2 linked regions of the Caenorhabditis elegans genome follow. The protein of the gene in region 1 purifies or fractionates together with the protein of each later gene. This does not show direct contact. Each region holds a gene or a part of one and is shown on either strand. Other genes may lie near its edges.

Region 1 (3,924 bases):
TTCTGAAGAAACACATGAAACAGGTTGTAATTTGTGTTTCAAATGAGGGAACAACTTACAAATTACCAAGTGGAGTATAATCGATTATTTTCTTGAACACTGGATATGGTAACTGGAGCAAATGAAATGTGTCCATTTTCAGAAGAAATTGGAGAACAATTTTCTAAAATTTGGAACATATTTAGTCTGCCACAAGATATTTTTACACCGAAAAGCTTCAAATAAAGACGCTATATATTTAAATCAACCAAAATAAAAACATTATTTTAATCAACTTTGAGTAAATTTGAGGTGAAAATCTGCCAAAAAATACAAAAATACAGCCGGGTTCATTTTTTTTTAGCTAAACGTATCATTGGAAAAATCTTTTACATAAAAATCCCTTTGGAACAAAAAAATTCAACCCAAAAGTTGGTGTGGAATTTTTGTCCACGAAAGCTCGAATCCCGGTTTTTTTTTCACAATTAACATTTATTCAACAACATTCAATTTTTGTTCATTTAAAAAAAATTTGATTTAATACAAAATTTTCAAATTTGCCTGAAAAAACTTTGAAGAACATATTCTAATTAAATGTTTTCAAAAGCGATTTTTGAAAAGTTAAAATGAAGACAGATAGAGAAAGATTTAGAGATGGGAGAAACAGAGAAATAAAATCAATGGTGTTCCGTGGCCGAGCTTTTATGACAAATGTGACAATATACATCTATGAATATGAAAGTATAGAGAGTTTCTGAGAAGCTAGTGTGCTATAACAATGTGGACTGCCTGTGATATTAAAAATGGAGCGCGATTGCACAGTGCAGATTTATGAGGCACACAATGTTTAATACCAAACGATTTTTTTAAAGTGTGCATAGAAAAAGAAACAAATAAGGAAAAATATAACACTTTGAAATTAAACCATGTCAGGTTGTATGTTTGAAATTAGATCTCATCGCTGAAAAAAACTTTAAACTCTTTAATTAATCTTCATAATCTGTTTATTTATGACGTAAACTTTGGAATTTTGAAAAAAGACAGAAACTCTCTTAATTATTAAAATAAGCAACGTACTTCAAAAATCGCGGAAAATTTATTTTGGAAATGTGTCTCGTTCCACTAGCGTCTTTTTTCATTTGGGTGACTTCACACTTTTTAAATAATAAACTTTCCGAGATTTCCATGTGTCAAACATTTTTTTGCATGCGAAAATTATCCAGCCCGTTCAAAAAAGTCGGGTTCAAAGAAATAGGGTTTTGGGCGCAACGCAATAAAAAATATAATACTTAAAATATCTAGAAGTTATTGTTGCTGTCCAAAACACAATCTCGTTATTTACAAATTTTCTGACCGACAGTTGTGTCCAAGCAATCTAAATCTTCAATTCTTGTCCTCTCTCACTTTGTCATCTTTTTCCTGCAAACATTGAGAGACGCAGTAAGAAGATGAAAGTTCGAAAATCGAGGAAATAATGATAAAAAACGAAGCACAAAACTCGTTTATTAGCAGAGTTTTAATCAGACGAACCCCAATTATTTTCGGATTATTTTTCTTTTTTCAGAAGGTTTTAATTTGTATCTATTTATTTGTAGCATCATAAACAAGAGACAACTGGTAATCGATCCTTTGTGGACAATTATTCTAACCTTGAGAGCTAGAGACTGTACGAAGAATGGAGAGTGAAAAGAGAAAAGGAACGTTTGTGTGTGTTTGTTTGTGTGGGGTTGGGTTTGGACTATACTATGATACTCCATGTATTTTGTTTCGATACACCGTCTTCTATAAACATGATTTTTTCAAATATAAATAAAACCTTTTTCCCAATTATTTTTCCTAATTTTAGCTCTTATTTATTTAATTTAATCAACATTCTCAAAACCTATAATTTATATATTTTCTTTCAGTAGCTCTCGCTTAAAGATGTCCCCAAAAAGTCTTCTCATCACCGGTGCCAACCGCGGAATCGGACTCGGTCTTCTGAAGCAGTTCCTCAAGCATAAGGACATTCAAATTATCATTGCCACGTGCAGAGATCCTTCAAAGGCTGAGGTACGCGTATTCCACAGAACTAAACACTTTATTGAACTCTCTCCAGGAGCTCAGCAACCTTAAAGACTCTCGTCTACACATTTTGCCATTGGACATTGATTGTGACGAGTCAATCAGCAAACTGTACGCAGAGGTAAGAAGATTAATTACTTAGCATGATTGTACAACTTTTAAAACGTGGTAGATGTAGGATGAACAATAATTTAGATATTTAGAAACTTTACTTGAAAGTGGAATTGCATACTCCCGAGTTAAATCCAGCTTTGTTTTTAAATTTTATTAAAATTCGAAATATAAATAAAAGTGCTTTATCTTGACGGCATTTGTCATTGTTCTCCATTTATAAGAAGTTGTATCGCTCTATAAATTTACAGATATTTTTTAGACTCTATAGTGTCTGAGATCTGCCAGGACGAAGTTGTGGGATGCAATATCTATAGAAAAATATGTTATATTCAGTATTTTCCAAAAATTGACATGTATTGCTTCAACTTGAAATATGAACTTTAAATAGTTTCAAAATTATACGCTTTTAAATATGTCGAAAAATCCAATCAAAATGTAAATTTAAGGTTGAAAAGCTGGTTGGCGAAGACGGTCTAACTGTTCTTCTCAACAATGCTGGCATTCTGCTCCCTTATGATGTCGAAGGAGAAAAGAACCGTAAAACATTGATCCGTCAGCTTGAGACTAATTCCGTCTCAACTGCACTCATCACTCAAGAATTTCTCCCATTGCTCAAAAAAGCTGCAGCCAAGAATGGAGGAGATGGTTATTCAATTAACCGAGCTGCAATTGTTAATATTTCTTCTACTGCCGCATCAGTTGAGAAGATTGATGGAACCTTCAACGGACCGCTAGTAACCTCTATTGAAATACATAGGCCTCACTGATGTTGAATTTCAGGTTGCCTACCGTATGAGCAAGTCGGCTCTGAACTCTTTTGCCAAATCCTGTTCAATTGATCTCGCCAAGTATCATATCTTGGTCACCTCATTCTGCCCAGGATGGGTTAAAACTGGTATGGGAGGTGCAAATGCAATGCTTGAGGTAAACGAACAAACGTTAAAATGTTTTTAACTCAATGTATTGAAAAAAAATCTAATTTTTTTCAGATTGAAGATGCTACGAAGACCCTCTCCGACAACATTCTCACCCTCGGAAATGCCCATCACGGAGCATACCTCAACGCAGACCTCACTGTTATTCCAAATTAAATTCTTGTTCAAAATTGTTAATAAAGCTGTTTTCATTATTGAATTATTTCAGCGGGAAATAAGAGTTTTCACCGTTTTCAATTTCCAAAAAGGAAATGAATTAAAATTGCACAGATTGCCGGTCATCATCAGCCATGGTCAGTTTTGAAGTGATGATTAGAGGCGCTTTAGGAATTGAAAAACAACTTAAAGGAGGACTAACGGTTCGAACGATTTTGAACGTGTAGACCAAAGGCTCATGGACGAATTTCGTAAGTGTCACATCTGCCCGAAGTTGGCTTTTTGGAATTATCATCCTTTATTGCATATTCCTGCTAAGCTAACTACCTGCTAAACTGCTAAGTTTATCTCATTTGATTTCATTGATTAAGGTACATTTAAAGCCGACTGGCAACCTATTTCGATCATTTTTGGTTACCTATCGGCCTTAAATCTACCTTAATCAACAAAATTATGTGAGTTGAACTACCAAAATATGCAAGAAAGGCTCACAATTCCAAAAAAGTCAACTTCGGACAGATGTGACACTGATAAATGGCCAAATTTCGAGATTTTATAGTTAGTTAAAATCCGTTTAATTTGAATAATTTTTGAGAAGTTTCATTACGAAATTTGTTAATTTGAGCCCGTTTTGGATCTATACGTTTGGAATCGTCCGAACCGTTAGTCCTCATTT
Region 2 (4,333 bases), on another chromosome or scaffold:
TTGGCAAATTTCCAAAACTGTAAATTAATATACACAAATATTGGTACAGAATCCCAATGACACTACCCCACCTGAAAAATTTCCAAAAATGAAACAAAAAGTTGAAAATCTTTTAAAAGTGTCATCAATAGGAAAATGATAAGAAACAATTTTCTGAGATCACTGATTTTTACTGATAGTTGGTTGTCTTCATTACTTTCTTCTCGTTTCGTTTCAAGTGTTTCAAATAGCACAGAATATGGTTTAAATATTGAGTAACTTCAGTATGAAGTTGTTTAAAACTGCTCCAAATATCGTTGTAAAACTTTTCGCAAAATTTTTGAAATAATTTTTATACAGTCAAAAGGAATGAAAACTAAGAGTTTTTCTATATTATAATTTTGGAAGTAGAAAAAATGTTACATTTACCAGTTTCATTTTTTAGTTCCGTTTCAAAGAAAAAAATTTAAATAGTTTGGACCTACAAATATGCTTGAAATAACTCAAAAATACGCATTTTTGGCCAATTTTGGCAATTTACTAATGTGCGGCCATGTTAGACTACTTGGAGTTTATTGAGACTAAATCTCCAGTGGCAATATTAAATCTGTAACACGTTTTTTCATTTAATTGAAATATGCAAGTTCTTCAAAACGTAGGTTTTAAAAGTATTTATTTACAATAAGTAAAAAGATTTAAATGTTTAATTTTCATAGAAAATAATGCTCTATAACGGCTATCTATTATATATATAGTGAATAGTGCAGTGAAGGAGAATATGAAAATTCACCTATTAGCTGAGTATCAACTCACAACGTGGGTACGAAAAAAACTTTGTAGTTTTTACTTTTCGGAGTATATAGGTAATTGTTTAACTACTGCCAATAAATATGAGTACAACTTCTATATTACTCCACATAGAAACCCCAATAGATCATTAATTGATCGACTATCAACTTTCAATCAGGCCATTTTCGAAAATTTTTCTCATTTTGAGAACTTATGTGCAGGAGACACCTTCTGTTCATAGAACACAATGGAAATCAATCGGTTTTTTCATAACAGTTGCCGTTGTAGTTTCTTCTCTTTTTTCTATCTTTTTTGCAACTTCCACATGAAAATTGCATTACGCACTGTGTCTGTTTATTCAGGCTTAGTTTCAATTTTAAACTGTTTGCAATAGACTTTAATGTAATTGCTAGGTTTAAAAGCCATTGACAACTAAAATTGTTTTCTAAATTGAACATAACTTGTAAATTGTCTCGTTCAAACCACCACCGCAAGTTAGCCAACTTTTCTTGTTCTGAGGCTAGATGGCATATCGGTAGATACTATCAGTGTCACAATTTGCCGGTCAAAAAACCGATAACGAAATAGCGGAGATCTTTTAGAAACTGCAGACAGACTGGGGAGTAATGGACGATAAAATAGAAGATAGGCTAGTTGGAAGGCGCATTTCTCATCAGAATCGTGTACTTTGTGTGTAACTCATTCTCATTTTTGTCCAAGTTCTAATAAGTTATCTTATTACATTTGAATTTCCACGCCTGATCGTTCACTTTTCTGGAAACTCATCGCTCCCACTTTCGAAAATCGTATTTTTACTATGAATTTTTCAAGTTCTACGATTTTAAAGGGAGGAGCATTTATGCGGATTGGTCTCGCCACGCGCCAGCCATTGATTGAGAAAAATATATCAATAGACGGCTCTTGGCGAGACCATTCCGCATAACTGCTTCCCACTTTAAAATCGTAGAATTGGAAAAGAAATACACAGTATTCATCAAACAATCAGCCATTATTAATATATTATTCAAAATATTATTCAAAATAGCATTCACTAATTTGTGTTTGAAGGAGGTACTTCCACATTTAGAAACTTGCAAATTTTATTCTTGGTTTTTTTAAACGTTCATGTTTTTTAAGATAGCAACGGTGTTTTAAAAACTTTCCGCTTCTGTCAGCAAAGATTTATGATCGATAAAATCTTAAAACACGTTGCAACGACACTCCGATATCCCATGCGATCGTTGTTTATCAAAAATGTCTTTCGGCCGGAATTTCAAATTACAACGTGGATTTCGTGGAAATGTATTGTCCTAAAACACAAAATATCTTGGCTTTACAGCGTTATTCGTGTTCAAAAAAGCACGAAAACGGTTTTTTCGCACTCTTTCTTTGCCAATCTTCTTATTTGTTTTCTCTTATGTCTATTTACTCGTTCAAAACTCGCCTTTTTCTCACTTTTCATTTTCTAATTGTCTATCTGCAGGTAATCCCATCTCCTCACGTCACGGAAATGTCTCCTCTGCCAGAAAACACCCTCATCGGAATGTGCAATCCATTGTTGGACATTCAAACCACCGTTGAAAAGGTAAGTTTTTGATTTCTCTAGAAATCTAGAAGCACATTCAAAAATATTTCATTTTAATTGCTGAAATCTACAGGCATTCCTTGACAAATGGGGACTCAAAGAAAACGACGCCATTCTTTGCGACGACAAGCACAATGACATGTTCACCGAGCTTACCAGAGATTTCAAAGTCGAGTACATTCCAGGAGGAGCCGCACAGAATTCGCTCCGTGTTGCTCAATGGATTTTGAACGCACCAAACCGAACAGTTTTCTTTGGAGCTGTTGGTAAAGATCAGTACGGAGATCTTTTGGCATCGAAAGCCAAAGAAGCTGGAGTGAATGTGCATTATCAGATCAACGAGACAGTTAAGACCGGTACCTGCGCAGCCCTCATCAACGGAACTCATAGGTAAGCGGATCATTGTTTGACGGACAGAAAAATCATCGTTGCCGTGTTGAAATGATTTCAGATCACTCTGTGCTCATTTGGCTGCTGCTAACACCTTCACTCAAGATCATCTCCAGAAGGAGGAGAATCAGAAGATCATCGAGCAGGCCAAATATTTCTATGTCACTGTAAGTTATCGAATTGATTTACAAATAAGCACAAAAGTATTCTCAATGTAAAATTTTCAGGGATTCTTCATCACTGTCTGCCCACCAGCTATTCTCCAACTCGCAAGCCACTCTGCCGAATTCAACAAGACTTTCACCCTTAACCTCTCCGCCCCGTTCATCTCCCAATTTTTCTTCGATAAGCTCTCGGAAATCATTCCATTGGTCGATGTTCTTTTCGGAAACGAAGACGAAGCTGCTGCCTTTGCTAAAGCCAATGGATGGGAGACCACCTGTGTCAAGGAGATCGCTTTGAAGGCTGCTGCACTTCCAAAGAAATCTACTAAGCCAAGACTCGTTGTTTTCACTCAAGGACCAGAGCCAGTCATCGTCGTGGAAGGAGATAAGGTGAGAGTTTTTGATAATTTTTGAATTTATTGTTTTCAATTTTAATCTACAGGTCACCGAATTCCCAGTAACTCGTCTTCCAAAGGAAGAAATCGTCGATACCAACGGTGCCGGAGACGCTTTTGTCGGAGGTTTCCTTTCTCAATTCATCCAAGGAAAGGGAGTCGAAGCTTCAGTCACCTGTGGATCTTATGCTGCTCAAGAAATCATCAAGAAGCACGGATGCACAGTGCCATCTGTTTGCAAGTACCATTAAACTGATAAAATAATCTGTGATCCCAACTTTCTCTGCTTTCAATTTCCCAGTCCCCTGGTTTATAGTATATCAAATTGTTCTTTGTTTTGCTCCCCATTCCCCGTCCTCGAGCATCCCTATTATTCGAAATTTTTCTTTTGGTGTTGTTTTTTTTGTCAAATGTTCCCAAAATGTGCCTTATAATTCATTTATCAGGTGTTTTAATAAAATGGCAAAGTTTTATTCTTCATCCATGTCGATTTGAATTGGAATCTTCTTCCCCTTTTCGACAAAGCCAATCAGATCCAGAACCAGAACGACACTGCCACGGCTGAAATAAAGTTTGTTGCATATTTATCAGGACTAGAGGAATATGATTACTTACAGTTTTGGTAAATTGTAAAACTGTTAGTGATCAACGTCACTTTTCCGAACACGTCGAAGTTTCTGTACGCCGTTCTTATCAAGGAAAGCAAAAAGAACATTAGTTGATTTGATCAGTTGTTCCGCTGGTAGACCTTCGTAGTTCTCATGAAGGACATTGATTAGAATGCTCTTCACATGAGCAGACAATACACTGTCAATGAAAGCAATCGGTCTGGAACTTACTTATCAATTGCTCATTCTGAAAACGAATCAAACCTGAGTTTATCTCGGATGATTGGTCTCTCGATGACAACTACTTTGACATTTACACATCCGTTTTCATCCTGAAATTTAAATATGATTCTTTGTTCTATCTCAAATAGTAAAGAAATATTTCCAACTTACCAAAGATCCTACGTTCTTGAACTTTCTATG

What was found.
Region 2: the proteins of F20G2.2 (region 1) and adk-1 fractionate together in Caenorhabditis elegans (co-fractionation; one large-scale study listed by BioGRID). This does not show direct contact.

What each region holds. Positions count from the first base shown.
Region 1 is NC_003283.11:13,754,372-13,758,295, reverse strand, and holds F20G2.2 (DeHydrogenases, Short chain), read left to right. Parts: upstream 1-1,886; 5' UTR 1,887-1,902; coding exon 1,903-2,031; intron 2,032-2,077; coding exon 2,078-2,164; intron 2,165-2,603; coding exon 2,604-2,891; intron 2,892-2,937; coding exon 2,938-3,081; intron 3,082-3,146; coding exon 3,147-3,248; 3' UTR 3,249-3,285; downstream 3,286-3,924.
Region 2 is NC_003282.8:11,208,750-11,213,082, reverse strand, and holds adk-1 (Adenosine kinase), read left to right. Parts: upstream 1-2,251; 5' UTR 2,252-2,278; coding exon 2,279-2,353; intron 2,354-2,426; coding exon 2,427-2,743; intron 2,744-2,804; coding exon 2,805-2,910; intron 2,911-2,970; coding exon 2,971-3,297; intron 3,298-3,349; coding exon 3,350-3,553; 3' UTR 3,554-3,774; downstream 3,775-4,333. Other genes in the region: R07H5.9 (Kinesin motor domain-containing protein), read right to left, coding at 3,941-4,130, 4,175-4,242, 4,304-4,333.